2 linked regions of the Anolis sagrei genome follow. The main gene of each other region encodes a partner of the protein of the gene in region 2 in a complex. Links are inferred from orthologs where the notes say so. Each region holds a gene or a part of one and is shown on either strand. Other genes may lie near its edges.

Region 1 (16,545 bases), about 99 kb from region 2:
TACATTTACAAACTTCTAACAGAAGACAACATTTTCTGTGCTCTGAAAATATATAAAACCATTTGCAGCTTAACAAAGAACATGCACTTGAGTTTCAGACTGGTCTGGCTCCATAAATAATTTAGAGCAGTGGTTCCCAACTTTTTTTGAACAGAGACCACTTTGACGAGGGACCACTCCCCAACATTAGTACCAAAAGGGTTACGAATCTGTTTCTGGTCAACTTTAGATTCAGTTTGGTTATTTGGGGTGCTGATTCATAAAATTGCATTGGGTAGACCACATCAGCTCTAGTTTATGATACGTAACATATGCATCCAGTAGTCGCCATCTGCTCGCCCACAGACAAACCCGTATTTAATAATCTAGAGCTGATGTGGTAGTAGTAATCTTTTGTGGGTAGTTAGCCTCATCCCTCCTGACATCCCTGTTGCCTTGACACTATAAGAGGGTTTTGCGAAACCAGTTATCCTGGTTTTGAGGCAACAATGTAGCAATGGTGAGGCCGCAGACCATATTTTCATTGTTGTGGACCACTGGTTGGGAATCACTGATTTAGAGGTTTTTGTAAGCCCAAGTGCTCTGATTTAGGGCCCTTCCACCAGCCATATAATCTAGAATATCAAGGCAGAAAATCCTATAATATCTGCTTTGAACTGGGTTATCTCAGTCCACACTGCTATATATTCCAGTTCAAAGCAGATAATGGGATTTTATTCAGCTGTGTGGAAGGGGCCTTAGGGAGTATCTATTCTATAGAATTACTGCGCTTGACAACACTTCAACTGTAATCGTAGGGTTTGTAGCTTTGTGAGGCACCAGGACTTTTTGGCAGGCATGGTCATACTACAACTCTCATGATTTGGTAGTGTTGAGCCATCACAGTTGAAGTGATGTCAAACTGCATTAATTCTACAACAGAGATGCACCCTTGGTTTCTGAATTGCGGGCTTGGAGATGAAGCAACCAGTAAGGACACCATTCAAAAATCATTCTGGTAAGAAGGCAGAATAAGGCACCTTTGAAAGTGAAAACAATTCATTTTCATTTGAAATTAACAATTTCATATGACAATTTTACAGTTTAACAATTATTGAAAGAGGCAAGATGTAAAGACTGATAGGACTGTATAGGAAATTAAAGAGCCCTTGCACCCCTGGTAGAAAAATGCACAGAAAATTGCAAACAAATTGGATAGGTAAGATATCAAAAATTATCCTTCATTGCATTACATGCCATGATCTTCATCCAAGGCATTAATGTTGCACTATTGACTTTTAATAAATACAGCTTTAAATAAAAAAAATTGTGGATTGCCACAATATAAATTAAACTCTTTCACTCTTATGCCATGCCACAGACTATTTCTGTTTCATATTGTGCAAAGGGTGCAGAACATATTGCCTTATTGGTGTGCCTACCTCATCTTTATTCATGTAACAAAGATTTTAAGAAGCATGCAAATGTATTAAAACATACACATGCTCATTTTAAACATGCATTAAGACTTTAATTCCATAATTGCAAGTCATATCCTTATATTGTTTGCCTTAATATAGTTACATACCTTTTTGCCTAATGCATGCCTGGTTTCTATAGTGATATATTAAATAATTAAGTTCATCTCACTTTGATTACATCTACTGGGTTAAATTAATTCATTTCTAAGGGTGTTTCTATGCTGTAGAATTAATGTATGACTTACTACTTTATCACACTAGAGAATAAATCCACTTCAAATCTGGCTTCTGCCTCCTGCAGAATGCTGAGGTTTGTAGTTTAGTGAGGTTGTTGAAGGCTCCTCCCTAAAATATAAACCTCAGAATTCTGCAGGAGGGTGCAACCGGATTTAAAGTGGATTCATTCTCTAGTGTGATGAGGTAGTTACATTGCCATGACTTAAAGGTATGGAATCACAGGAGTTGTAGTTTTACAAGTTATTTAGTCTTCTCTTCCAAATAGGTGCAGTGCATCACCAAACTACAACCCTCATGATTCCATAGCATTAATCCTGTGCAGTTAAATGGCATCACACTGCATTAATTATATAGTGTAGATCAGGCATGGGAAAACTTGGGCCGTCCAGGTGTTTTGGACTTCAACTCCCACTATTCCTAACAGCCTCAGGTCCCTTCCTTTTCCCCCTCAGCCGCTTAGCGGCTGAGGGGGAAAAAGGAAGGGACCTGAGGCTGTTAGGAATGGTGGGAGTTGAAGTCCAAAACACCTGGACGGCCCAAGTTTGTTCAAGCCTGGTGTAGATGCACCCTAAGTCTGAGTACTGAACCAGATGTGGCAATCAAAGCAGTTCAATTATGTGGAAAGAGAAGTTCCACAGTAGATTCCTTGTTATCACCAGTTATTTCTGTTGCATTGCAAGGCAGGATAAATAGCTCTCCCATCCCGGAGGCTGTCCTATTATAACCTTTGTGATAACCCTTTGAGGTAGGTTAGGTTGAGAGGATGTGATGGGCCCCAGGTCTCCCAATGCATGGGATTGGCTGCTGGTGTCTCCGGTCTTAATCCAACACCCTGTCCAGGGCAGCTACCACCCTCTTATGTTGACTATCAAACTAAAAAGCATGACTGCAACTTGACAGATGAGGTCATGTGACAGCCAGGCAAAATGTCAGGAGCTTGTTGTTTATTTCCCTTCTGGCTCCTTGCTTGTAAGTATTGTTGGATTCAAAGGCTATGTATGGGGAGTGTAATTACACTGGTTAGGTATTATTGTTATGTATCATTTACATTTTTTAAATTCCCATAATTGTACAGGGATTACATTTTCCATTTCAGAAGTTTGAAAAGTGACTTGGGGAATAAAAGGCAGCCCTATTATTTTTAAATAAAAAAACAATTGTCACCAAATGTAGTAGTTAAGTATGATGGACGAAATGCTCCGGTCTTACATTTCTGTTATTGTGACAAGGCCAGAAATAATATGTCTCCAATTTTCATGGGAGGTGGCACTTGCTAGAAAATATTGTTGGACTAATGCTAGTTAGGTGTCATTGCTATGTATCCTTTACATCCCACTTACATCGAAGCATTCTCATGGATTAATTGTGAGGGGGGGGGGGTGTTGTTGAAGGCTTTCACGGCCAGAATCACTGGTTGCTGTGAATTTTCTGGGCTGTACGTCCCCGAAGCATTCTCTCCTGACGTTTCGCCCACATCTATGGTAGGTATCCTCAGAGGTTGTGAGGCAAGTAGGAATGCTGCAATTGGCTACCTTGATACCACCTTAATACCACCTTGATACTACCAGATATATGAATAAACCCCACTTGCCTACTTTCCAACAGACCCTTCAACCTCTGAGGATGCCTGCCATAGATATGGGCAAAATGTCAGGAGACAATGCTTGAGGAACATAGCCATACAGCCTGGAAAACCCACAGCAACCCGGTTTTGTGGAGGGGGGGGGGGTGTTCAAATGACATTTCCCATTTTAAAAGTGTGGAAAGAATCTTGGGGATCAAAGACAGGCCAAGTTTTAATAAATAAAGAATCAACACCCATTTTAATAGTTAAATGTGATGGATGTGAATGCTTCCATCTTGCATTTCAGTTATTATGAACAAGGCCAGAAACAATGTGTCTCCAAATCTCACTGGAGGTGGCCCTGTGAAAACACAACAAAGTTTAAAGTAGTGTTAGAGGAAGGACATGCAGAGGGTCATGGTGGCACAATATAAACCCGTTTTGAAACCTTGTGTCCTCAGGACTGCTGGCCAAAAGGTCGGAGGTTCGAATCCGGGGAGCAGGGTGAGCTCCCAGCTGTCAGTTACAGCTTTTCATGTGGGGACATGAGAGAAGTCTCCCACAGGATGGTAAAACACCCGGATGTGTCCTGGGCAACATCCTTGCAGATGGCCAATTCTCTCACACCAGAAGTGACTTGCAGTTTCTCAAGTCAACCCCCCCCCCCACAAAACCCCTGCCATCTCATATTTTGAGCTGCCTCCTTCTCCCAGTTCCTACAAAAAGCAAGAACTGGGAGACAACCGAACTAAATTACAAGATTCCTGTGTCCCACAAAACTCTATTGCCTCCTAACCTGCTTCCATTGAAAGAAGCTGTAACATTATTTATGCATTCACTTAAATGTGTGCATTTCTTAAGACATGAAGCATGGCAGCGTAAACAGGCACCCTTGTGTCTACAGTCTTTGTTGTCAGAAAAAATAATGACTGATTTCCTTCTTATTAAACCAACTGAGCTTCCTTCATCACCGGAAGCATAGAAGTTAAAAAAACAACACAACCAAACGTCAGGTCTGGTTTCTCCAAAGCTGAGGCAGAGATAACAGCATAGAATACATAGAAAATGTGTCCTCAACAAGAAGAAATAAATAAAGGGGCCATCTTTCAGTTTTGGATGGTTTCTCCACCTCAAGAGATTGTGCAAATAACCCTGCAAGTCAAAAAGGAAGGGATTCTGGATGCTCAGGTCGTTTTAGACGCCTGTCTTGCACAATAGGTACCTTACCTACCTGAATAACAGAAACAGAGGCAATCTCTGAACAGTGCCGGATTTACCATTGTGCTTAAGTATGGCCCCCAGTTGACCAGGGGGCCCATCTTCCTGCCCCAAAATCTTATGATGGATTTTTCTTATGTGATGCAATTCTAAATTTGAAGGTGTTCTATTTTGGAGCGATTCCAGACATAATGATAGTCTATGGGAGTATGCCACAGAGCAGGCAATGGAGGCCTACCGGTTCAACCTTCTTCAGAGCCCAAGTCAGGGGCCTCATAACTAGTGCAGAGCCCCACTTGTTCTAAATCCGGCACTTTCTCTGAGCATGTTTACTGCGTCAGGTTCTAGAGCTCAACCAAGTAACAAAAGGGGCATCAGGAGGGTTCATCAGAGATGGTAAACTTGGGCTTCAACCTCACCGACTTCTTCCTGACAGTGGCCTTTGGGGACAAGACCACGGCCTTCATGATGCTGCTGTCTTCCTCCAGCTGCCTGGCAGTGCAGTTGGGCGTGGGCACCTTCACCGTGTTGCCAAACTTAGAGTAGTCCACAGAGTACTGCCCGTCCTCCTCGGTGACGATGGGCACGAAGCGGTGGCCCCAGAGGATCTCATCAGCCAAGTAGGAGGTACGGGCCTGGGTGGTGATGCCGGTGGTCTCCACCACCCCTTCCAAGATGACGATGACCTCCAGGTCCTCGTGGTGGTGGAGCTGGGCAGGGGCCACGTCGTAGAGGGGGCTGCTGGAGTCGATGGTGTGGCAGATGATGAGCGGGGAGACCAGGAAGATGCTGTTCCCACCCACGGGGTTCTCCAGCTGGATGTCCACCTGGTTGAGGGGCACCACCTCGCCCTCGGGGCTGGTGGTCTTGCGCACCACCTGCATGCGGATGGAGGCGCTGATGATCATGCTCTTGCGCAGGTCGCCCACCCGCAGCATGAAGCAGAGCCGCCCCCCACGCACAGCCACCACTGCGTGTTTGCTGAAGATCAGGGTCTCGGCCCGCCGGTGGGCCTGGGCCGTCTTCATGAAGATGCAGCCCAGCATGATGGCGTTGATGATCAGGCCCGAGATGTTCTGCACGATGAGGACCAGGATGGCGGCGGGACACTCCTCCGTGGCCATGCGGCCCCCGAAGCCGATGGTCACCTGCACCTCGATGGAGAAGAGGAAGGCGGAGGTGAAGGAGTGCAGCTGGGTCACGCAGGGCACGAAGCCGTCCCCAGGGTCGCCTCCCCCTCCCGTGCTGGTGCTGTGGTCCAGGTCCCCGTGGGCGAAGGCCAGGAGCCACCAGATCATGGCGAAGAGCAGCCAGCTGCACAGGAAGGAGAGGGTGAAGATGAGCAGCGTGTGCGACCACTTGAGGTCCACCAGGGTGGTGAAGACGTCCTGCAGGAAGCGGCCCTGCTCGCGGATGTTCTTGTGGGCCACGTTACACGACCCGTTCTTGCCCACGAAGCGGGCCCGCCGCTCCCGAGCCCGGTAGCGGGCATGCTCCGGCACCGCCTCCACCAGCCGGGTCAGCACGTACTCCTCCGGGAGGATGCCCTTCCTGGACAGCATGGCCGCGCACCCACGCGGACCCGCAGCCCCGGCCGCCCACGCACACCCAGCGCCAGGCCGGCCAAGGAGGGGAAGCCGCCAGGCGGGTCCGCGCCACCCCGCCCGCCCGCCCGCCTGCCTCTCCCCTCGCCCCTTTCCTCCTCTTCCTCCTCCTGCCCAGCTGCCCACGCCAATCGCCTCTGCGCCGGCCTGGGGCTGACCCACGCGAGGAGGAGGAGGAGGAGGAGGAGGAGAGCGGTCAGCGGGGGCGGCTCGGCACCTAGGCGCGCATTGGGCCGGGCGCCGCAGCGCTGCTTCGAGGTGTCGGCAGGGGGCGCTGTGGCGCAAGGGAAGCCCCCACAGCACAGCGGACGCGCCAGGTGGAGGAGGAGGAGGAGGAGGAGGAGGAGGAGAGCTCTCTCTTTTTCGCTCTCTCGCTCCCGCTCTCTCTCTCGCACTCTTGCACGCTCTCTCGCGCTCTCTCTGTCATTTTCTCTCTCTCTCTTGCGCGCTCTCGCTTGCTCTCTCTCTCTCTCATGCGGGCGCGCTCTCTCGTGCGCGCTCGTTCTGTCTCTTGCGCCCCCGCTCTCGTTCTCTCGCGCTCTCTCTCTCGCGCTCTCTCTCTCTCTCTCGCGTTCTCTCTTGCGCTCTCTCTCCCCCCCCGCCCCCCTTCTGATGTTCAGCCCAAATGTGCCCTCCTGTGACTTCAATCCACTCAGCCTTGTCCTGCCTTCTGGCCTGAAAGTAGTAGTATTATTATATGGAGCAGAAAGGATGGGAGAACCTGCCATAAGCTTGACTTACTATTAATATTAGTATTATTGTTGTTGACTAGATAGCCTTTGGAGGTCCCTTCCAACTGTTTGAGTTTAATTATAATAATAATTTATAATAATAATGTGTAATAATAGAATAATAATTCTATCTTCCTGCCTGGGAGAAAGAAAGGGGCTGGACTAGATGGCCTTTGGGGGTTCCTTCCAACTGAGTTTTATACAGTAGAGTCTTGCTTATCCAACAAAAATGGGCCAGCAGAACATTGGATAAGTGAAAATGTTGGATAATAAGGAGGGATTAAGGAAAAACTTATTATATCAAATTAAATATCAAATTACATTATAATTTTACAAATTAAGCACCAAAACATGTTTTACAAAAAATCGACAGAAAAAGCAGTTCAATACATGGCAATGTTATGTAGTCATTACTGTATTTACGAATTTAGCATCAAAACATAGCAATGTATTGAAAAAGCTGTGGATTCAGGTGGGAGGCAAACTGCATTGGATAATACAGAATGTTGGATGAGCAAAGGTTGGATAAGCGAGACTCTACTGTAATAATAATAATATATAATAATAGTCTCCTGGAATGACTGCAGGAGCAATAAATCCCTTCCAGTATTTTCTGTTGGATGTGGGTGTTCTGTGTGCCAAGTTTGATAGCAAAATTACAATTATGAATTAGCAACGAAAATAATTTTAGTGTTGGGGGTCACCACAACATCAGGAACTGTATTTAGGGGTCATGGCATTAGAAAGGTTGAGAACTTCTCCAAAGAATGGTATCAAATAATGTGCAGATATAGTTCTAGTCTCCAATGGCTACTTGCCTTATCTCATATTGCTGGAGGAAAAGGGGCTGGAAGGGTGTCCAAAGAGTACCTCAAGAAATGAACAGGGTGGTACTGGCACAGCTGGTACTTCAGGTACCAGAACCTTGAGCTTTCAAGATCAGCATGGGCACTCGCTTGCCTCTGCAGCACCCAGAGCAGCAGTAACACAGGCTGTGGGTGATACCTTCAGTCGCTCGCAGTATGACTCCAAAAAAACTTGGCTCACCAGTAGTATTGTCATTGAATCTGCTTGAATAAATAAATGCATGTCTTCTGGGCTGTAATAGTTGTTAAGCTCACTGGTTAGTAGTAGATAACATCTTATGCAGAACACTTAGGCCAATCTTCAAAGGAGCTGTCTATGGTGCTGAATCTATAATGTGAGATGGTTGTGTATCTCCAAATTATTTCTGATCTATGGTGACCCTAATACAATGGGGGGGGGGGGGGAAGCAATATTTGTTCAGAGGAATTTTGCCTTTGCCTTCTCCTGAGGCTGAGAGTGTGTGACTTGCTCATGACTGAGTCCAAGGCTCAAAGCACAACACTGTGCTGTATTGGCCTACTCCTTTAAAGACTAGATTAAAAGTGCCCCACTTACATGAGCCAGACCTGATGGGATATGGATTCTCCCATTGTTGCTCTGCCCAAAGTGGGGAGGGGGGGAATGATAATGTGCAGGCAGCTATTGCTTTTGTTCAGCCATTTACATAGCTTCTCTTGATGTTTTAATTGGTGCATCCAAGCAATTTTTTTCATGTCAGGAATGCCCTGAGAAACTGCAAGTTGCTTCTGGTGTGAGAGAATTGGCCGTTTGCAAGGACACTGCCCAGGAGATGCCTGGATGTTTTACTATCCTTGTGGAAGGCTTCTTTCATGTTCCCACATGGGGAGCTGGAGCTGACAGAGGGAGCTCATCCATGCTTTCCTTAGATTCGAACCTTCAGTCTTCCGTCTTCAGTCAAGGGTTTAACCCATTGCACCACTGGTGGCTCTATCTGAGCAATTGGCCTTTGCTAGACCTGCTCTCTCTCTTGTCCTCCAGTCAGAACTTTACATGCAACCATTTTCTGGTTTGTGAGGCACTCTGTCTTACACAGGAGACCTCCTTTGTCAGTGCCTTGCCACCCAGAAAGAGTCCATACAGATGCAAATGCACCTTACCAACATAAAATATGAAAACTACATCAGTCTCTTCTTCTGTGGCACACAAACTACTTCCACTCCCTATTGCTTTGGCATAACAGTAGCAAATAATAGCTTTAATCATGTATAAAAATTTAAAAACACCAAAAAGCAATATTTTATATGGTAAAGAATCCTTTTGTATAGTGAAATACCTGGAAGCATTTTATGCGCCCAAGAGCAGATTTCTACAGTTATGTTCACTTTCATAAAAGCTCACATTAAGATCCATTTGTCTTTTATGAACTTGTATCCATGTGCCCAATATTTCTCTTATAATAGCTGTTTTAAATTCATTTATCTTTATTTTTTCTCTCTTGCCTTCACATTTTTGCTCTTTCTCACTTACACAAAATTGGCATATAATTCATCTTTATACAGACTGTTCCTCTTCCCTCTCTTTACATAAATGCTGTTCTGATTTGCTGTTCATGTGAATTGCAAACTTGCCCTGCACAACCTTTTAAAGGAAAGTCTTAGTAAGAAAAATGTGCACCAACATAAGCATACCAGAACAGAAATTGCAACCTTAGAAATATTCATGAACTGTATTTTCATGCATTTTGAAACTAGACTTGAGTAGAAAGTAGAAAACATTTTGCTGATTTAGAGCAGCAAAATGTTTGAAAATAGCTTCTATTGCAATTAGGTTTATCCACTGCACTTCTGTTATGAACTACTTTAAGCCCTGTGAAAGCATCCATGGTCTCAATGATGTGTGTGCATCAAAACCAAGGAAAATGATATGTCAAATTGTGGTAAAACTGTTTAGTTGAATGTTTGTTCTACCCTGCAGAGTAATCTATTTGGTATATTTTTGTTTTTAAATTCACAGGTTTCCAGAAGTATTTAATTGCAGAATTTTGAGGTATGATCTATACAGCTAAAAAGCATCAGCTATGACATACCACAGACTCAGTTATGAGATAAAATTGGAGTTGAATTTAGTATGACAGAGATGAAGGAAGAATGCAGCAGATTCCTAAAATCTCACACTCTTCCACAATCTGAACATTTAGGAATTACAAATATGGTTCCTTTATTTTGTATATGGTTCCTTTATTTCTTTTAATGTTTATGGACTACTGGATATGTAGTATATTTAACCAAATGGCAAATTATTTGAGTTATTTTTCAACTATTTATATGCTATTTATATACTCAGAGTTGAAAAGTAAACATTTAAAATGTATTTATTGCCATATATATTGCAGTAAATATATACTATATAAAACATTTTTCTTACTAAAATTTAGCATAGTAATTAGTTAATTTAGTGTTGTTTTAAGGCATTAGATATTTGCCTATGTGTAAAGCCACCTTGAGGCCCCTTGGGGTAATATAGGGTAAATAAATAAATAAACTAGTGAAGTAAATAATTTCTTATGATTAACTAGGAAATTTGCTTTAAAAGATTAATTGACAAACAGGCAAAACACATTTCATTTCTAATGAAGGAAGACACTAGGCCTTTTATTATTAAATAATCAATATTTTTATTTACAATTATTTTACATGATTAGAAAATGGATAATAAAATTGAAATGTCAAAGATTTAATTATTTGCATTTACTTGTCTGCTTGGACAAAAGAAGCAAAGACACTCCCTTCTTGCTCCAGCAAGACCTCTGGCTTGTCGTATTCCAGAATGACTCCTCTCTTCATTACAATCACCATATCTGCATTAAGAATAGTGTGTACTCGGTGCTGGAAAACAAAAGACATGGGAATAATTCTAGTTACTTATTAAATCATGTTTGACAGAAATACATTTAGGTAACTCTTGTTAATGTGCAACATCACCATAATGTAGATTATCATATAGATAAGATTATTCTAATCTGGTGAACAATCCTATTTCTCTGATTTTGTTCCATATGCTATATCTTCCCATTTATTTTGAGACACAATTGAAAGTGCATTGCCCCAGTATTGGCTTTAATCCTGTTAGGCAGCCACACATGCAAAACTTACATCAACACACTCACAACTGTTTTGTATTCATCATCCCTATGTAAGGGTTGTGAAAACCCCCCATCCTCCATTTACTGGGATTAATCCCCTGCTGGGATTAATGGGTCCACTCATCTGTTGATCATGAAGCATTTGGTCGATGGTCCCACTCCCTCCTTGCAGAACCTATCTTTGTCCAAGGGTGAATTGTAATAGGGACCTTAGTTCTGGCTGTTGCACTACAGGGAGAAGAAACATTAGCCAGCAATTTTTTGATTGACAAAGGAAGAGACTTTCAGTAATCAACAGTGGCTGCTTCCCAGGAAGTGGAGATTTGGGAGACTGAGATAGGAGCACCATAAGTAAAGGTAAAGATTTCCCCTGACATTAAGTCTAGTTGCGTCTGACTCTGCGAGGTGGTGCTCATCTCCATTTCTAAGCCAAAGAGTTGGCGTTGTCTGTAGACACCTCGAAGATCATGTGGACAGCATGACTGCATGGAGCGCCATTACCTTCCTGCAGCAATGGTACCTATTGATCTCACATTTGCATGTTTTCAAACTGCTAGGTTGGCAGAAGCTGGGCCTAACAAAGGGAGCTCACCCCGTTCCCCAAAGTTGAACCACCAGTCTTTCAGGCAGCAAGTTCAGCAGCTCAGTGGTTTAACCCACTGCACCACCAGGGCCATAACTAGGAGCACCTTAACTACAGCATTTTATATACAAATTTCCAACAGGATTCTGGTCATTTTTAAAGAGAAAGGTTCTCTCTTATCATGAGTTATCTGTGGCCAGTCATTATTTATCCCATATCTATTTTTTATATCTGTTGAAAATGGAAGGAATTTTTTGTTTTAATTAGATATTCTTTTAAAATCAAGAATAAAAGAAGAAAGGCTGTATTGTTGTTGTGTGCCTTCATGTCATTTTTTATTTCTGTCAGCCCTAAGGTGAACCTATCCAAGGGTTTTCTTTGCAAATTTGTTCAGAGGGTTTGTCATTGTTTTCCATCGAGGCTGAGAGAATGTGATTTGCCCGAAGTACTATTATGTTATAAATACATGGCTTCACAATAGCAAAAACCAAACCAAAACTTACAGCAATTGTCACCACAGTACGATCAGCAAATGCAGTCATTACAACTTTCTGAAGAATATTTTCCTAAATAGTAGGCAAAAAAATATTTTTATTAATTAACATATCATAATTACACATGGATGATAAATCTTCCAACTCAGGGGTTCCACAGTTTTATCCTTTGTAAACAATATTCAATCTACTGACTCACTGTTGCCATATCAATTGATGCTGTGGCTTCATCCATGATGAAGATACTTGTCTTCCGTACAAATGCTCTGGCTAAGCAGAACAGCTGTCTTTGTCCTTGGCTGAAATTCTCTCCTCCTTCGGTGATTGTAGCATCTAGTTAAAGCAAAATCATTTAGAAAATTAATGTATATATTCTTGATTATATCAATTTTCACTTCCCATTTTCTGTCATTGAAGAGGACTGTGGTGTGAGAGAACATGCTTGCTCCCATCCCATTCCTTTTCAGCCAACTAAGTATGCATCAGGTTACTGTGAGTTTTCCGGGCTGTATGGCCATGTTCCAGAAGCATTCCCTCCTGGTAGGCATCCTCAGAGGTTCTGAGGTCTATTGGAAACTAGGCAAGTGGAGTTTATCTATATGTGGAATGTGCAGGGTGGGAGAAAGAACTCTTGTCTGCTAGAGGCAAGCGTGAATGCTGCAATTGGCCACCTTGATTAGCATTGAATTGCCTTGCAGCTTCAAAGTCTGGCTGCTTCCTGCCTTGGGGAATCTTTGTTGGGAGGTGTTAGCTGGCCCTGATTGTTTCATGTCAGGATTTCCCCTATTGTTTGTTCCTCTTTATTTACTGTCCCAATTTTAGAGTTTTTAAAAATACTGGTATTTTTTGTTCATTTTCATAGTTCCCTCCTTTCTGTTGAAATTGTCCATATGCTTGTATATGTTTAGCTTTTCTATATTGCTCCATAATCAAAGTTCTCTAAATGAACTGTCCATTAAATGATACTGTTAACTCTCTGTAAAGTTGAATTACACAGCCTAAAATACAACAGGGTATGCTTTTAACATTGGGTATCTGTACAAATGAAGGATATATTACCTAAGCCTCCAGGTAAAGCTTTCACCACATGCTTCAGCTGTGCTATTTCCAAAGCTTCCCACAACATGCTGTCTGTACATTTCTTTTCTGGATCCAGGTTAAACCTAAGGGGTAAAAATATAGCCAAACATTATCAAAATGGTTAACTTTTTGTGAACTGCATGTGTCTGGTTGCAGTTTACAGTACAAGATCGAAACGTCTTTACAGACAGCCAATTCTCTCACAACAGAAGCAACTTGCAGTTTCTCAAGTCACTTCTGACATATTATTATTATTAGCTCCTTTTCAGTTAATTCTGATTTTTGGATCCAGAGAAGATTTAAATCAACTCCCAAATAAGAATTAATGGGAATTTTAGACTTTTCTTATAAATAATATTTCTTTTTTTCTGTTGGGAGAGATAGTGTGAAGTGATGATTTTGTGGCAACAATTTCTGTCCAAACTGTGAAACCAGGCCATAGAGACCAAACTAGGTTTCTTTCTAAGGTTGGCATGATAACACTTACCGGATTGTGCCGCTGAACAAAATAGGGTCTTGAAGAATAATTGACAGTCTGGATCTCAGTGTTTGTAAGGGAAGCTTGGCAATGTCTATGCCATCTATAATGATCCTTCCTGTTGTCATTTTAAAACAAAACATATAGTGATTACATTCTTCTGCATATGGCATATTTTTCTAATTAAATTACATTACACTGAATGTAAAGTATATTTCATAAGCAGAAAGTCAGAAAGGAATATGTTATTTCACACAGTGATTGAAAGTATTCTTTATTCCACTGCAACTGAATAAATAGATAAAACTAGAATATATAGTTAGCTATCCATACCTACAATTTGAACATATTAAAAAATTCCAAAAGGCAAACTTTTATTTTGTCATTTGATATAAGGAATACAATGTTACAATGCAATTGTATATGACAGAACCCGAGCATCCACAGATTTTGGTAACCAAGTCCTACAACCAAACGCCATCAGATACCAAGGGCAAATTGTACTGTTGTATTGAATTAACAATGCTGAGATGTTATTAAAATAAACCGAACTTATGTAACTAAATGCAGGATGCTAATTTCATTTGGAGAGCTGAAGGTAGTCCAGTATAAACTAGTGAATAATTTAATCAAACCCAGAACAAATTAAAGTCTTAATGAATTCATTGGCAGCAATAAGCTCAAGCTTAGTGTTTTGCAGTTTCAAACAATACAGTTTAGATCTATCTAAATTTAGTTGTATTATGCTTCGAGGTCTTTTTACATTTCCTGAAAATCCACACATTAAGAAACCCTGCATAATGTCATAGTTACAACAAAAAGGAATCAGAAACCTTCTTTAAAAACATTTCAAATTCCCAGGATAGCTGCCTCAAATTGAACACCACAAAACCTAGAACAATCCCAGTACAAGTAATATGAATATGGGAGATGCTGCTCTAATATTTGTTTTTAATGTCAGAAGCAAATTGAGAATACAATTATAATGTATTAAAACTCACAAACAAAGTTAAAAACTTGGTATTATACTTAATTTCCTTTGACCAGAAGTTGGCTACTTCAAGAGCCTCTGATGTCGCTGTAAGAAAGTCTTCCATTGTGCATGTGGCATGGCTCAAACTGCATTGTAGTAGGTGGTCTGTGGTTTGCTCTTCTCCACACTTGCATGTCGTGGATTCCACTTGGTAGCCTCATTTCTTAAGGTTGGCTCTACATCTTGTGGTGCCAGAGCACAGTCTGTTCAGTGCCTTCTAAGTTGCCCAGTTTTCTGTGTGCCCAGGGGGTGTTCCTCATCTGGTCTCAGCCACTGATTGAGGTTCCAGGTTTTAACCTGCCACTTTAGGACTCTTGATAGCTGAGATGTTCCTGCAAGTATCTCTGTAGATCTTAGAAAACTATTTCTTGGTTTAAGACGTTGGCATGCTGGCTGATATCTGAACAGATGATGTGCTGGAGATGTCAATGCTTTGGCCCTTTCATTACTGGCTACTACTTCCTGATGGATGTCAGTTGGTGCAATACTGACTAAACAGTATAATTTCTCCAGCAGTGTTGGGTATAGGCATCCTGTGATGATGTGGTATGTCTCATTAAGAGCCACATCCACTGTTTTAACGTGGTGAGATGTATTCCACACTGGGCATGCATATTCAGCCACAGAGTAGCAAAGTGCAAGAGAAGATGCCTTCACTGTGTCTGGTTGTGACACGGTGCCAGTCAGCTTTCGTATCATATTATTTCTAGCACCCACTTTTTGCTTGATATTCAAGCAGTGCTTCTTGTAAGTCAGAACACGGTCCAGAGTAACTCCCAGATATTTGGGTGTGCTGCAATGCTCCAGCGGGATTCCTTCCCAGGTAATCCCCAGAGCTCAAGATGCTTGTCTGTTCTTAAGATGGAAAGTGCATGTCTGCATTTTAGATTGATTAGGAATCAGCTGGTTTTCCCTGAAATAAATAGTTAGTGCACCTAAAACTTTGGAGACCTTCTGTTCAACCATTTCAAAGTTCCCTGCTTGAAAGGTGATGGCACAATTGTCAGCATAGATGAAACTCTCTGTCCCTTCTGGCAGTGGCTGGTCATTTGTGTAAATGTTGAACACTGATGGAGCAGGCCATTTTTCTGTTTTGCCATCAGCTTTTCTGACTCTGGAACTTAACAAAGAAGCTCCTGTTTTGTAGCAGATTTCCTATGAAGTGGGTGAGGTGGTAGTCCTTTGTGATATTATAATTTTTTCTCATGAGAAGGCAGCGGTTTACGGTATCATATGCTGCTGACAGGTCTATGAAGACAGCTCCTATAATCTGTTGCCTTTCAAAACCATCATCTATGTGCTGACTCAGGTTCAACAGTTGTGATGTGAAGCTTTTCCCTTTCCTGAAACCAGCTTACTGGTGCATTTTTGCCGTAGTCATATGCAAAATAAGTTTCTCCAGAACTTTATAAAGATGGCACAACAAGGAGATTGATCTATAGCTTTTTGGATCATTACGGTCTTTGCCTGGTTTCAAGATGGCTTTGACTCTTGCTTTCCTCCAGAGTTTGGGAATCTGACAGAATGCAATGCAGTAGTTCATCAGCTTCAGCAGCCAGCACCTTGCTTTCGGGACAACGTTCTTAATTTGTTCTATCTGTAGATCATCCAGACCAGCTGCTTTCCCATTTTTACATTTATTGAGAGCCATTTCCAAATCAGTAAAGGTAAAAGATTCATAAAGGTTGTTGTTCTCATTATCTGGTTGTCTGACTGTTGGTTTCCTTCCTATTTAATTGCAAGTTTGGGTTTCCCATTCATCAGAAGTCATTAGTACAACAGAAAAAGATAATACAATGTGTTTAGGGGGCAATTTTTCCTTCCTGGAACCCTGCAAGGGCTGAAAAAACTGCTAAAGTTCTCAAAACTAAACAACTCCATCAACCTGTTGTAAGCATAATTTCTAGTTTTGAAAATTAGGTTTTTTAAAAAGCTAAACAGTGAGCAGGGGAACCTTCAATGTGAATTTTTGGTGTCTTCCAAGACATACAATTCACTTTTTTGCCTCAAAAAAAGGGGGAATCTGGAGGGCTACAAAAATAGACATAGAGGGCCTTTGTCTTGCTTCAAGGTATAGCCTGTTGTGGACAGGT
Region 2 (15,742 bases):
TGTTAAGCCGCTTTGAGTTCTCTTTGGGGGAGATAAAGCGGGGTATAAAAAATATAATAGTAATAGTCTGGAAAGTGGCAAAGAGAGAGAGAGAGAAAGAGAGAGAGATTAGATCTATTCATGAGTGGCCTACCTGGTACAACATCCATTTTTTGCACAAGGCAAAGGCTTTTTGGGTCCTCATACCTAATTTTGCATCTTTTAAAGATGATTTTACTATATTTCAATGTTTGATATATTGGTACCATTCACCTCTACTTTGGCAGAATTTGACTATCTTATCAGTGTTAGACCTACAAGATTGTTTGCAGCTCCCTGGATGCCATACAGTAATTTAATGTTGCATTTACCATGCCAATGTTTAATTTAAATTTAGAATGTTGACTCTATTCTTTGCATGTTATTTATGCTGCTACTTTGTTTTTGACTATTTTCATCACTTGGAGCAGGGACAGGGACACTTCAGATATTAAGGCACTGCAATTTCCACAATTTCCTTCATTTATCGTGCTGGCTTGGTGTAACAGAGTAGCAAAGGAAGCCAGCAGTAAAGGAGAGCTGTGGAAGATGACAAAAATGCCAAGGAATAGAACAATGTGATAAGGAACCGCTAGGAACATAGGAGAAATATATGATGAGAGAGTGGGGTTGGGGAAAAAAATGAATGGCAAATGTAGTGGGGAGGAAGTAACGAGATGGATGGAATGGAGGAATCGGGAGATGTCTGGAATAGCAATTGATTTGTCGACAAAGAAGCAACATTAAATTGCTCTTTGAGTAGACCAGGTGTTGTTTATGGAGCATTCGCCATAGAACTGTTATCACTAGCATCACCTAGTAGTTATATTGAGGGACTGCTTATTTTTGCTAGAGCTGCTGAGGAATAAGTAGCTGTTTGTTTTTCCAAGACTTCCGCTGGAAGTTTTTTTAAAGATGCAAACTTTTCAAGTTTCCCTTCCCATGAATGAGGGCCAATCTGTGACACCTGGACTGATGAGTGTTACAGTGTAACATCTAGTGAACCATCTAGTGCTTTCTCTATTCCTGAACAAAATACTTTGAGAGCCTAACTCAGAACTGTGAATCATGGCGTGTCCCTGCTCTTTCCAGGGTCCTTTCACAGAACCATATAACTCAGAATATCAAGGTAGAAAATCCCACAATATCTGCTTTGACCTGGAATATCTGAATCCACACTGCCAAACATCCCAGTTCAAAGCAGATAATGTGTGATTTTATTCAGCTGTGTGGAAGGGGCCCAACACTGCAATTCCTGGCACTTCTCATCTTTGGTTGTTCTGGCTTGGGCTGCTGGTATTTGGAGTTCTACAACATCAGGTGGGCCAGATGATTCCCATCCTCTAGCAAGCAGTAAAATTTCAGACTACTAAACACATGGTAGTAATATGAAAGAACTCCATATTAGGAACTTCATAGTGAAATATTGTTAAGACCTATTCAATCTGAACCCAAGAGCAATATATTTTAATACATAGTCTTCAGGATTTCAGTACATACCTATTAATAATTTTGGGAAATTTGATGTTTCAATATTGTGATAATAGACAATTGATGTGATGGCTGCAAGGAATGCCATTCCAGGTGGCATGTAAAGGTGCAAATGACGGGAGTCAGAAAAACTAAGTAAAAGAGAACAAATATTAGTCACAAATACAATGTTTGAGAGTGCCATGTTTGTTTTTATGCTTACAAGAAGATATATATTCATCTGAAGAGAGATGCTGATCAACACACAAAGGAATGTGCATATGTTGACTTTCTCCAGGTGGAGGATCTAATTATATTTGTGTAGCATCTGTCATTCTCTTCATTTCTCTCAAACACACCAGTTCCCATACCTGAGTTAGTACAGTGGATCTAATTGATCAATGGAAAGAAACCAAAAAACCAGTGAGTCCTTTTCAGTGACTATATACAGTCGCTTGCTCCTTTTCCATATTACAAATAACAGGATAAAGAATAAAACCTGAAGTAGTGTTTGTTATTCCAGATCTATTTAAGCACTAAAAGAAAACCAGCTGGTAATTGTTATAATTTTAAGAACACCGGAACATCATTTGAAGTCTACAGGTTATTTTATATTGGTTGAAAATTATTAGAAATTCAAAATGCATATATTTAAGGACTCTGTAACACATTTTGGGGAAGAAGCTAATATATTGTAAGTTTAGGTTGACTTTCAGCCATGTCATGTAGGAGCTTTTCTTCTCCTTCTGGGCCTTTACAGACATAGGAAACGCAGAGAAGGAAAAGCTCACAACACCCTTGGCAAACAAGTTAGAGCCAATTGGCTAACTAAAAATAAGCGAGAGCATCTGAGTATTTCTACATACACATTCTTGGCAAGTCATTTGGAATGTCTGACTCAAGGTCAGTAGGTTAATCATCACAAACACATTGCATTTTTAACAAGTAAAGGAAAGTATACTCAACAACTTGCTAATGTCGGTATTACAAACTCAGATGATGTTAGAGAGAGTTGATCGATGTATATACTTACCCATCTGACACTATGCCCTCTGCTATTTCACACACCAACACAAATAAAAGGATGAAGGTTAAAATCCATCGTAAATTATGTCCAGGAAAATGAAGCCATGTGCTGTGATGGATATGAACTTTGGAGCTTTGACTTCCCCATCCTAAATGTAACAAAACAAATAACCACAGTTATCTTGCAGTATTGGTGCAGACAATGCAAAAACCATTCCTGTCTATTCTGAACTGAAACAAAAATATTGGGGTTTTTATTTTGTCTTATGAAACAGGAACAAAGAAAGGCAGTGGTGATAAATACATTGTTAGAAAGCAATTTTGGCAGTGATACTATAAAACACCATCGTATTAAGAGGTACGTGACACAGGATCAAACATTCTGAATATTTAGGCTTTAAGATAATACGTATTAAATCAGAGATAGGACATTCTGAATACTTTGACCCAATATAGTTTTGATATCTACATGGCTGACAAACAGTATTCCAGTGAATATGGAAGGAGCACGTTTCCACTCAAACTGCATCCCATATTCCTTTCAATTTGTATGCATTAGAATGTTAGTTTATAATATGCAAGGGCATGTTCAAATTAAAGTCCACAGCGGAGGCCAGAAATGGAAATAGAAACAGTTTGGGATAATTCAAATTAGATTTTGTTATCATGCCCACGGGGATTGTCATTGCTACTGTAATTTGAAAGAGCTAGTTTATAGAATAAGTTTTATGTTTATATTGGAAAGTGCATATTATACTTTTAAAAGTTATATATTATTTGATGTCATGGCCTATGGCTAGTATAATAAAAACTCATCACTTTATTGATACTAAATCATAAATTTAGCAGGGTAATCTTGGTTACTTTATTTTACTGAGTTTTAGTGTTGGCTGCTGGTTTTCATGTCAGTGGGAATTCCCAAAGTTGGTTAAGACTACCGTTCAGACTAAAACCAAAAGCAGTTTCACCACCCCATTGACAGAAATGAACAGCTACCAATTTATGATGCTAAATTGTGTGGTAGAGGAATTATATATACCCCAAACCTGAAGCAAATATTGATTTTAATGAAATGGTATTCCTGCCTTGAATTTTCTTCAGTTAAAATATAAGTGCTACGTAGAGTTGTTTAATAGTTTTATTATTTTTAACAATATATGTTTAATATTTCTATGTTTAATTCTATTGAATGTTTATATGTGTTAGGTTTTCATAGTATCCTAGATTTGGAAGCGAACACGTGAGCCATCCAGTCCAACCCCCTGACAAGAAGAAGGAAAATGACATTCAAAACGCCATCCAGCCTCTGTTGAAAAGCCTCCAAAGAAGGAGCCTTGACCACTCTTTGGGCAGAGAGTTCCACTGCTGAACAGCTCTTACAATTAGGAAGTTCTTCCTAATGTTCAGGTGGAATCTCCTTTCCTGTAATTTGAAGCAATTATTCTGTATCCTAGTCTCCAGGGAACAAGATTTTAATTCAAAGATTGTTATGGTTTTTAATTTTAGCCACTTAAGTTTCCTTTGGCAAAGGAAAAGCAGGGTATTAAGACTACTACTACTACTACTACTACTACTAACAACAACAACAACAACAACAACACACTTTTTTCGTATCAGGGGTGACTTGAGAAACTACAAATAACTTCTGGTGTGAGAAAATTGGCCATCTGCAAGGACGTTGCCCAGGGGATGCCAGGATGTTTTGATGTTTTACCATCCTTGTGGGAGTCTTCTCTCATGTCCCCACATGGGGAGCTGGAGCGCTCTCCTCGGATTTGAACCTGCGACCTGTCAGACTTCAGCCGGCGCAGGGGTTTAACCGACTGCGCCACTAACAACACACTTAGATATATAGACAGAATTTTATATCCCCAAATAATATATGTGACAGGAATAGCCCTGGCTAAGGTGTGAGAGAGCCATACCTATTCACCCTGTGTCTTGTGTGTCCCAAAGTAGAACAGGGATGTTTTTATAAGGTAAAAACTAATTATTGCAGACAGAAAATGGAACAAGGAAATACAGTTAATACATATTTACAGCTATTTGAAAGCAAGATATAGGAAGAGATGGTGGGAGTAACTATGGTAATATCACACATTATTAGTCATATCATGGACATATCTAGTTGATGGGTTGTGCAAATCCCACACATTTATCACAATATCAATGAAAGAAAAGGAACAAGTTCATATTATCTTAAGTGCTTCACATAGTCATATACAGTATTATGCCATGTCCTAAACTATCAAGTGATCATAATTATTAATAAACTTTCTTTGGTTCTAAGAAAAGTAATCCATTCCAAAGAGATGTGCTGAATTGATGCTTTATATATAGCCCTTCCAATGCTTTGCTATGAAAAGAGAAGCCTTGAGTAGTAATAAACAAATAAACACATTTCTGATATTATGGAATCTGTGGCCTAGAAGTCAGATGCAAACTATTTAATTTAGTCTTTTAATGGTTCACATATTCGATTGGGCAACCACTGTTACATATTAGTAGTGTAAAACATCAATAGAATAAATCAATAGAAAAAGTGCCTACATAGTGTGAGATCTCATTAGGTATTTAATGTGTTTTAATTTCAATGTTTATTTTAATTGTACATTGTGTCAAGGCATCAAATAATTGCCTATCTGTAAAGTCACCTTGAGTCCTCTTCGGGATTAAGAAGGACAGGATATAAATATGGTAAACAAACAAATAAATAAATAGGTATGGGAAGGCATATATTCAGTTGTTTTCCTTGCTTGAGAAAAACATTATATTTCCTTATTTACCATATCCACTCAAATAAGTCACCATAACCTTATGTGACTCCATTTCCTCTTATAAGAGGTATATATCCTTTTTATTTAACAAAATCTGACAGATGAGCTGTAACTATAATTTGGCTTTCTTTGAATAAATTTCTTTGTGATCCAGTTCAATGCAGCTTAAATTCCCATGTAAGGGCCTTTTAAAATAATGGAGAGAAGATGCCTTGATGCGTTTGGGCTGTGCAGGCTTTTATTTTGAGCATGCTCTCTCTCTCTCTCTCTCTCTCTCTCTCTCTCTCTCTCCTCCCTTTTGCCTGGGAGCTGCAGAAAAAAGCAGGTCAGCTTCCTTCAAGCAAGTGTGAATCTCTGTACTTTTCCTGAATGGCTGCAATGATGCTCAGAATGGAAATGGGGGGTTATTATCAAGACAACCATACAGCATTATTATTCCAAGTCAGAGAAACATTGAAATGTTAGCACATGACAAATGTAGACATGGAGAACAAAGCTGCCTACTTCCTTTGATTTAAATGACTTTGTTGTACCTTCATACAACTGAGAATTTATCATCCCCATTCATAATGTCCAAAGTGTGCATTTCCCCACCCTGGTTTGCTGTATGTGGGTCTTCAGAATTGTCCTTAGACATGAAGCACAGTATCAGCACCACTGGTCCTTTCCTTTGATGTGAATGCCTTTGTACCTTCTTAGAACTGAGAATTTATCATACCAATTTAACCCACTTCTAATCCCCATCATGAACATTTCTTCCTGATTTGGTGTGCATGAACCTTCACTTATTACTGACACAGGCACAGCACCTGGGACAAAGTGGAATGCCCCCCTTTCATTCCTGCCAAGGCTGGGAAGAGATGGCACCCAACTGGAAAGTCAGAGAAGGAAAGAGAGAGAGAGAGAAAGTGAAGGAGAGCGGGTGAAAGAGGTGTTTCAGATATGGGATTAGATTTTTAATGATTTCAATTGAATAGTTTCAAGGTTTAATCCTATTACAATATTTGCATGGGATTTTAGGTGTTAAATTAAAGAAGATTCCAGCTAAACACGAGGAAGTACTTCTTATGGGTGAGAGCTGTTCAGCAGTGGAACTCTCTGCCCCACAGTGTGGTGGAGGCGCCATCTTTGGAGGCTTTTAAACAGGCTGGATGGCCATCTGTTGAGGGTGATTTGAATGTGATTTTCCAGCTTCTTAGCAGGGGGTCTGACAGGATGGTCCACGAGGTCTCTTCCAACTGTTTTGAGAGATTATCACTCTCTTTTCAGAGAGATAAGCGGGATAGAAACACTAATAATAATAATAATAACAACAATGCTCTTATCATTTGGAGGAGCCCTCAGTGATGCAGCAGGTTAAACCACTGAGCTGCTGAATTTGGTGACTTAAAGAGAGAGAGAGAAGAGATGGAGGGAGAGATGGAGAAGGAGAGGGGCAGCGCGATGAGAGGAGGAAAGAAAGAGGTTGAAGCTGCCTGCGGTGCCTCTGCCTAGGCTTTTGGGGGCGCTCCTGGTGGAGCAGAAGCCCTCCTCCTCCTCGTCGTCCTCCTGCCCCCGCCCGTCCTCCCCAGGCTGACCTACCTATGAAGAGGATGGGGAAGGTGATGAAGAGGAGGAAGACGTGAGGCACCACGTTGAGCGCGTCCACGAAGCAGCCGTTGTTGAGCACCCCGTCGTCCACCTTGTAGGCGGACGAGTTGTTCTCGGTGCCACAGAAAGCCAAGGTCATGGTGGGAGACTGAGGAGCACGGCGCGGAGGGGAAGAGGAGGAGAGGAGGAGAGGGAGGAGGCCGGGCATGCAATGCACCGGGAGAGAGGGAGGCGGTGTGTGTGGGGGTGTGTGTGTGCGCGCGCGGGTCTGCCCTGGGGGCGCGTGCCTGTGACCGTCCCCAGCTGCACCTGAGGACCTTTCCTGGCTTTCCCTCCCTCCCTCCCCGCAATCAGGAGCCCCCTCTGGGCGCGCGAGGCTGGGGGGAAGAGCGCGCGCTGCGAGTGGGTGGGTGGGCGACTGGATGGATGGACGGACAAAAGACTCTTCGCGAGACAGAGTGTGCGCGCGCACGCGCCGGCGGAGAGAGAGATGCCTTTGGCGGAGGAGGCGGGGAGGGGAGAGATGCTGAGGGAAAAGGCGGCAAAAAGCCTCGCCTCCCGAAAGGACAGGGCACCTCTGCTTCTTCCAGCAGCGGAGAGGGAATGAGAAAGGGGGAAGAAGAGGAGCCCCCCTCTCTGCCTCGTTTTTGCTGGAGCTCTGCTCCTCCCACCTCCTCTTGCCCCCGGGGTCAAACCTGAAGGGCCGCCTCGTGCGTGGGAAAGCCCTGGGCGCCCTTGGGTCTGCCGACTGCCGTGCCTCTTTTCATCTACTGCTTTCTGAGGCCACGGGAAGAAATGGCCTTCATCTATAGCCCGAAAAACCTCCAACCCAATCTCCTCCTCCTCCTTCCTCCTCTCCTCCTCCTCTTCCCTTGCCTGAGACCCATTAAAACCCTAGCTTCGCTTAAGAGGAAGGCGTGGGAAACCGCCACTCCCGAGGTGACCTTTCTCGAGTGCGCAAATGGGCTGAAGCGGAGCACAGGGCCGCCCAAAGCCGCCCTTCTCCTTCCCAAACTAACAAAATGAAGTTCAACAAGGACAAATGCAAGATACTCTACTTAGGTAGAAAAAAATGAAATGCAAAGATACAGAATGGGGGGCGCATGGCTCGAGAGCACTACCTGTGAAAAATATATTGGGGTCCTCGTGGACAAGTTAAACATGAGCCAACAATGTCATGCGGCAACCAAAAAAGCCAATGGGATTTTGGCCTGCATCAATAGAAGTCTAGTGTCTAGATCCAGAGAAGTCATGTTACCCTCTATTCCGCTTTGGTTAGACCACACCTGGAATACTTTGTCCAATTCTGGGCACCACAGTTGAAGGGAGATGTTGACAAGCTGTAATGTGTCCAGAGGAGAGCTACTAAAATGATCAAGGGTCTGGAGAACAAGCCCTATGAGGAGCGGCTTCAGGACATTTTTAGCCTGAAGAAGAGAAGGTTGAGAGAAGACATGATAGCCATGCATAAATATGTGAGGGGAAGTCATGGGGGGGGGGGGGGGGGAGGAAGCTTGTTTTCTTCTGCCCTGGAGACTAGAAAGTGGAGCAATGGCTTCAAACCAGAAGAAAGGAGATTCCATCTGAACATTAGGAAGAACCTCCTGACTGTGAGAGCTGTTCAGCAGTGGAACTCTCTGCCCCAGAGTATGGTAGAGGCTCTTTCTTTGGAGGCTTTTAAACAGAGGCTGGATGGCCATCTGTTGGGGTTGCTTTGACTGCAATGTTCCTGCTTCTTGGCAGGGGGTTGGACTGGATGGTCCACGAGGTCTCTTCCAACTCTATGATTCTAAGAAGAGCGGCTGCTGCTTCAGAGTTTTGCAGCTCCGCACAATGGACTTTTCACTCGTGTTTAAGGAGGAAAGGGGGGGCTTTGCACTTTTGGGGAGCTTTGGCACATTCATTTGGATTCTTCCTCTGAGTGGATGTGCTACATTGTCAGAAAGCCAAATGAAAAAGCATTCTCCCATATCCATTGCATAATACATGCATGGGCAAACTTCGGCCCTCCAGGTGTTTTGGACTTCAACTCCCACCATTCCTAACAGCCAAAATTGAAGTCCAAAACACCTGGAGGGCCGAAGTTTGCCCATGCCTGGTATAGTAAGGTGGGCCAAAGGACCAGCCCTGCTCACCTTACCAATACAATGAGAATACTATTGTAACCCACTTTGGTGTTGGACAGCTTGAGTGTGTGGTTGGAGTCGACAAGTGAGGGTCTGAGTGGTTTGAACTATTGTTGTATTTGAATGTTAGACTCTATATGTGGGTTGTTGTAGGTTTTTTGGGCTGTATGGCCAAGTTCTATAAGTATTCTCTCCTTTCGGGCCATATAGCCCAAAAAACCTGCAACAACCCAGTGACTTTGGCAATGAAAGCCTTCGACATGGCTAGTGGGTTTCCCTCTAGCCATGAAAACTAACGGGCAAGTCACACAAGCCTCAGGGGAAGGCACTGGCATCCCTCCCCCCAAACAAATCTTGGCAAAAGTCTTGGACTCCTCACCCCCTGATGTCCATATCTCAGTAAAATCAACCAAGTTGTGAGCCTTTCTATATAAGTCTGCTTTTGGGGAAAGCTGGAACTCTAATCACAATTACAGAGGGCAAGCCACTTCCCTGTTATGTCAGCTCACTGGCTGCCTGTCTGCTACTGAGCACAATTCAAAGTGCTGGTTTTAGCTTATAAAGCCCTAAACAGTTCTGGCCCAACTTACCTGTCTAAACGTAGCTCCCTTTATGAACCAACTCATAGGTTAAGATTGTTTGGGGAGGCCCTGCTCTTGGTCCTACCTCCTTCGCAGGTATAGTTGGTGGGGATGAGGGACAGGGCCTTCTCAGTGGTGGCCCCTCAGCTGTGGAGCTCCCTCCCCAGTGAAATCAGATCAGCTCCCTCCCTCCTGACCTTCAGAAAGCAAGTTAAAACATGGCTCTGGGACCTAGCCTTTGGTCAATAGTGCCGTGAAATAAGATGGGAAATGTGCAATCACAACTAGAACAGCTTTTTAAAAAAACCCATGATCTCGGATTGCATGGTTTTAATAATGTTTTTAATTTTTATATAGCTCTCAAATTTATGTTTTAGTCTGTGTGTTTATTTTATATTTGTTGCTGATATGACATCAAATTGTTGCCTTTGTAAGGCCACTCTGAGTCCCCTTTGGGACTTCGGGACTTCTCACCTTTGGGGTGAGAAGAGCAGGATACAAATACTGTAAAAAAATAAATAAGTAAATAAATAAAGGGTTCTGGCTGATATGGAATGCTAAGCATGGAAAAGCCGATGCCGCTGTTCCTTGCTGCTAGCTCCCATGTTCAGCACATAGGCATTCAGAGATGGGGCCAGATGACATGCAACAGCAGCGGTGGGATCAACTGTGTTGTCTTTTCAATATGAGAAGTATTTCATTCCAGAGGGATCTGTCCCATAGTAGAACATGGGAAGGAGCTACAGAGGTAATGGAATATTGATATATGCACCTGCACATCTCAGCAGACTGGTTAAGGAAAAATAACATCCCTGGGTTCAGTTCCAATCTGCAATCAGCAGACACTGTGGGCACCATCCCAGCCTGGGAATTGGTCTCTGGGTTTTTTGGGTAGACATTGGACAGCGAAGCAGGTTTATTTTAATCCATCTCTAAACTGCATTATAGTGTCTGTGTAGAAGCATTCTATCTGTGGGATGTTCTTAATCAGTTTCAGAACGTTGAACTATTTGCAAGGACAGAATGGAATTACTTTGATTACAAATTTAATAACAGTGCTCTTGTAAAAGGGCTGGATTTCTGATAACAATGTGATGACACAGGGGTTAGTGGATTTTTTTTTGTAGAACCATGTTTAGAAGTATATTTATGAAACAGATGCTATAGTTGTTGCCAAATTATGTGTGACAGCCTATAGTCTCTGGGCTGTTTCTCGTCTGTGCTGTCATTAGAAGGAAGTGTGAACAAATGCAGTCACAATGTGCCCAGATGGAGAGAGACACCTAGAGTGATTATACATAATGAGTCAGAAACATTGAACTATTTGTACCTTTACCCCAAATTATGGAAAGGAGAAGCAAAGAATTTGCCTAAATTTTGTATAGGTTCAAGATATGCACAGTTACCAATATGTAACATATTGCTTCTAGATGCAACTGGACAAGGACTACGTTGACGAACAATGCAATTTCACTTCTCAAATGTTCTTGTGTAATTCAGTTGAGCTAGAATTTGTAGTGCTAACACACCAATCACTTTCTTATATAAACTGGCATTACGTAAGGGTTGTGAAAGATCATTTTGTCTTGCTTTAGGCACAGTGACTTTTGTGTAATTTTTGCTGTTCTTAATAGCACAATGGGAAAAGTACAAACTATTACTTCATTAGCCTTCAAGAGGAAGAGGTGGAGTGGGTTCTTTTCAAATGTGCCTGGTATTTTCAAAAGTCATGAGGTGTATCTGTGGAGGAATGGTTGTGTGTATGTCTTAAATGCCATCACACTGATACTAGATTCCCTTAAGAAATCAGACACAAAAGTTACAGCAACTTCATGATCCAGATCCTGTTTCCTATACCAGCTAAGCAATTTAATTATCTGGTGAATTCTGTCTAATCCTTTGTATTTTATCTGTACCTGGGAAAATGCACTTCCATCCTTTCAGCAAACTAGTAATGGGAAATTCTAATTATTTTCAAATAGCAGTACCATCCAACTCTTTGGAGACAGCCAGCATAGTATTGTGGTTTGAGTGTAGGGCTGTTGGAGGCATGGTTTCAACAAACTGGGTGACAATTGGCAGTTCACATTCCTTCAGCCTTAGCAGATGCTAATGGCAAGCTACTTCTGAATAAAACTTGCCAAGAAAACCATGTAACAGGGTTGCCATAAGTTGGACTAGTATGCTAATGTTTTATGTTAAGCTGCTTTGAGTCCCCTTTGGGAGAGATAAAGTGGGGTATAAATAAATATAATAATAATAATAATAATTATACTCTAACTGGTTTTTGAAGTCAGTATAGTTCTTGTTCAGTTCTTCCTTGTCTCCTGTGCTATGCTAAGAATATAATATAATGTAATATATTGTATAGACATATAATATTTATAATATTATAATGTAATACAATGTACTACTACTAATAATATGATATTATAATTATATATTTTATATTACATGTAATAATAATAATAATAATAATACAATATAATGGTATAGTACAATATAGTAATATATAATATTGCTATTGTACTATGCTAATAATATAATGTAATATATTGTGTGTGATATATATGAGAAGGGCGGCATATAAATGTCATAAATAAATAAATAAATAGTTCTAAAAATGTGGCATATTGTTTAAAAGAAAGGACGAAGGACTTCTTGTCCGCTATGACAACCATGGGGCTGTCCCAAATTATATCTTGACCCACACATTTAGCTGGACACAGATTGGACCTAGTGTTTAATGCAGGTATGGAGGAGAGGGCCGGTGTGTCTTATGTCTGTTATAACAGGCTGAGTTTTTAAATTTAATTTTAGTTGTTAAGTCATAATCCATGTTTATATGTTGGGTTGTTTAAATTTTGTTAGTATGGATGTATTGTTGTTGTATTCGGGCATTGAATGTTTGCCTTTTATGTTTGGAAAATCTGCCCTGAATCCATCTGGGGAGATAGAGCAGAATATAAATAAATAAATAAATAAATATTATTAGTAGTATTATTAGTATTGTTTTATATTATTATTTAATTCGCAGTTTATGTTTTATACTCGTTTAACATAATTGTTCTTTTATTGTTTACTTATTTTTAATTTAAATTATATAACAACTAGCTGTGCCCTGCCACGCGTTGCTGTGGCCTATAGTAAAACTTATCAAAGTTGAGGTAGATATCTGGACTATTATGAAAGAGAGGTACCTACCTATTCCTTCCCCCTTTTCCTCCCCCCTTCTCTCCTTTCTTCCTTCTCTACCTCTTTCTTTCTTTCCTTCTTTCACTACTTGGTTTCATCCTTCTCTCTTTCCTTCATTCCCTCCCCCTTTCTTCCTTTGCCTTTCTCCCCTCCCTGTTTGCTTCCTTCTTTCACTTTTTATTTCCTTTTATTTTACCACCATCATAACCATAACAATAATGCAATGCATTGCCTCTGGGACCTGACACCTCTCCCATTCCTCCAGGGTCTAATAGGAATAATAGCATAATAATAATAATAATAATAATAATAATAATAATAATAATAACAGAAATAACAACCTTTACCCGCCACGTGTTGCTGTGGCCAACCTTCCCTCTTTCCCTCCCTCCCTCCCTCCCTCCCTCCCTCCCTCCCTCTTTCCTTCCCTCCCTCCCTCCCTCCCTCCCATCTTTCCTTCTCCTCTTCCTTCTCTATCTCTTTCCTTCCTTCCCCCTTTTTCTTTCTCTTTTTGTCTCTTTTCTTCCTTCTCTCTTTCCTTCCTTCCTTCCCTCCCTCTTTCTCTACATCTTCCCCCTTCCTTCACTCCCTCTTTCCTTCCTTAGAATCATAGAATCATAGAATCAAAGAGTTGGAAGAGACCTCATGGGCCATCCAGTCCAACCCCCTGCCAAGAAGCAGGAATATTGCATTCAAATCACCCCTGACAGAAGGCCATCCAGCCTCTGCTTAAAAGCTTCCAAAGAAGGAGCCTCCACCACACTCCGGGGCAGAGAGTTCCACTGCTGAACGGCTCTCACAGTCAGGAAGTTCTTCCTCATGTTCAGATGGAATCTCCTCTCTTGTAGTTTGAAGCCATTGCTCCGCGTCCTAGTCTCCAAGGAAGCAGAAAACAAGCTTGCTCCCTCCTCCCTGTGGCTTCCTCTCACATATTTATACATGGCTATCATATCTCCTCTCAGCCTTCTCTTCTTCAGGCTAAACATGCCCAGCTCCTTAAGCCGCTCCTCATAGGGTTTGTTCTCCAGACCCTTGATCATTTTAGTCGCCCTCCTCTGGACACATTCCAGCTTGTCAATATCTCTCTTGAATTGTGGTGCCCAGAATTGGACACAATATTCCAGATGTGGTCTTACCAAAGCAGAATAGAGGGGTAGCATTACTTCCTTAGATCTAGACACTATGCTCCTATTGATGCAGGCCAAAATCCCATTGGCTTTTTTTGCCGCCACATCACATTGTTGGCTCATGTTTAACTTGTTGTCCACGAGGACTCCAAGATCTTTTTCACACGTACTGCTCTCGAGCCAGGCGTCCCCCATTCTGTATCTTTGCATTTCATTTTTTCTGCCAAAGTGGAGTATCTTGCATTTGTCACTGTTGAACTTCATTTTGTTAGTTTTGGCCCATCTCTAATCTGTCAAGATCGTTTTGAATTCTGCTCCTGTCCTCTGGACTATTGGCTATCCCTCCCAATTTGGTGTTGTCTGCAAACTTGATGATCATGCCTTCTAGCCCTTCATCTAAGTCATTAATAAATATGTTGAACAGGACCGGGCCCAGGACGGAACCCTGCGGCACTCCACTCGTCACTTCTTTCCAAGATGAAGAGGAAGCATTAGTGAGCACTCTCTGTGTTCGTCCACTTAACCAATTACAGATCCACCTCACCGTAGTTTTGCCTAGCCCACATTGGACTAGTTTCCTTGCCAGAAGGTCATAGGGGACCTTGTCGAAGGCCTTACTGAAATCCAGGTACGCTACATCCACGGCATTCCCCGCATCTACCCAGCTTGTAGCTCTATCGAAGAAAGAGATCAGATTAGCCTGGCATGACTTGTTTTTGATAAATCCATGTTGACTATTAGCGATGACTGCATTTGTTTCTGTTTGCAGACCGCTTCCTTAACAATCTTTTCCAGAATCTTGCCCGGTATCGACGTGAGGCTGACCGGACGGTAGTTGTTTGGGTCATCCTTTTTTCCCTTCTTGAAGATTGGGACCACATTGGCCCTCCTCCAATCTGCTGGAACTTCTCCCGTTCTCCAAGAACTCTCAAAGATGGTTGCCAATGGTTCCGAAATGACTTCCGCTAGTTCCTTCAATACTCTGGGGTGTAGTTGATCTGGCCCTGGGGACTTGAACTCATTAAGAGCGGCCAGGTATTCCTGGACGACTTCTTTCCCAATTTGGGGTTGGATGTCCTCCAATCCCTCATCCACTCCATCTTGCTGAGGTTGAAGACTCTCTTTTTGTGAGAAGACCGAGGCAAAGAAGGCATTAAGTAGTTCTGCCTTTTCCCTATCCCCTGTCAGCATTGCCCCATCTTCTCCGCGAAGAGGTCCTATCGCCTCCTTGTTTTTCCTTTTTCTACTGACATAAGAATAGAAGCCCTTTTTATTGTTTTTAATGTCCCTGGCAAGCCTGAGCTCGTTTTGTGCTTTAGCCTTGTGGACCTTTTCCCTACAGGTGTTGGCTATTTGTTTGAATTCTTCTTTGGTGATTTCTCCCTTTTTCCACTTCTTGTGCATGTCTCTTTTGTGTCTTAGCACAGTTAGAAGTTCTTTGGACATCCATTCTGGCTCCTTCATTCCCTTTTTTCTTTCCTTCTCTCCTTCCTTCCTTCCTTCCTTCCTTCCTTCCTTCCTTCCTTCCTTCCCCCTTTTTCTTTCCCTTTTGGTCTCTTTTCTTCCTTCTCTCTTTCCTTCTTTCCTTCCCTCCCTCTTTCTCTACATCTTCCCCCTTCCTTCACTCCCTCTTTCCCTCCTTCATTCCCTTTTTTCTTTCCTTCTCTCCTTCCTTCCTTCCCCCTTTTCTTTCCCTCCGTCTCTCATTTCTTCCTTCTCTACCTCTTTCCTTCCTTCCCCCTTTTTCTTTCTCTTCTGCTGTCTCTCTTTCCTTTCCTTCCATCTTTCCTTTTCTTTCCTTTTCTTCTTCCTTCTTTCTCTAACTTTCCTTC

What was found.
Region 1: the proteins of ABCC8 (region 2) and KCNJ11 are in contact, whole or in part, in a cryo-EM structure (PDB 7S60), measured with the Homo sapiens proteins. The link is inferred for Anolis sagrei from reciprocal best matches to the Homo sapiens genes ABCC8 and KCNJ11. Residues at the interface, in NP_000343.2 of Homo sapiens: Phe5, Ser12, Ala13, Tyr15, Arg16, Val17, Val21, Asn24, Cys26, Phe27, Ala30, Val33, Val34, Val37, Phe41, Phe44, Ile46, Phe48, Ile49, Gly50, Trp51, Gly52, Ser53, Ser55, Lys57, Val58, His59, Ile60, His61, His62; in NP_000516.3 of Homo sapiens: Val44, Ala45, His46, Lys47, Asn48, Ile49, Arg50, Gln52, Gly53, Leu56, Val59, Thr62, Leu63, Lys67, His70, Leu73, Ile74, Met77, Cys81, Leu84, Leu85, Met88, Trp91, Leu92, Phe95, Ala96, His97, Gly98, Leu100, Ala101.

What each region holds. Positions count from the first base shown.
Region 1 is NC_090021.1:248,140,328-248,156,872, reverse strand, and holds KCNJ11 (ATP-sensitive inward rectifier potassium channel 11), read right to left. Parts: upstream 6,129-16,545; 5' UTR 6,042-6,128; coding exon 4,854-6,041; 3' UTR 2,147-4,853; downstream 1-2,146. Other genes in the region: ABCC8 (ATP-binding cassette sub-family C member 8), read right to left, coding at 10,390-10,527, 11,871-11,933, 12,061-12,194, 12,921-13,024, 13,429-13,537. UniProt on the Homo sapiens protein: Inward rectifier potassium channel that forms the pore of ATP-sensitive potassium channels (KATP), regulating potassium permeability as a function of cytoplasmic ATP and ADP concentrations in many different cells.
Region 2 is NC_090021.1:248,042,518-248,058,259, reverse strand, and holds the start of ABCC8 (ATP-binding cassette sub-family C member 8), read right to left. Parts: upstream 7,704-15,742; 5' UTR 7,090-7,703; coding exon 6,873-7,089; intron 2,664-6,872; coding exon 2,522-2,663; intron 1,641-2,521; coding exon 1,519-1,640; intron 1-1,518. UniProt on the Homo sapiens protein: Regulator subunit of pancreatic ATP-sensitive potassium channel (KATP), playing a major role in the regulation of insulin release.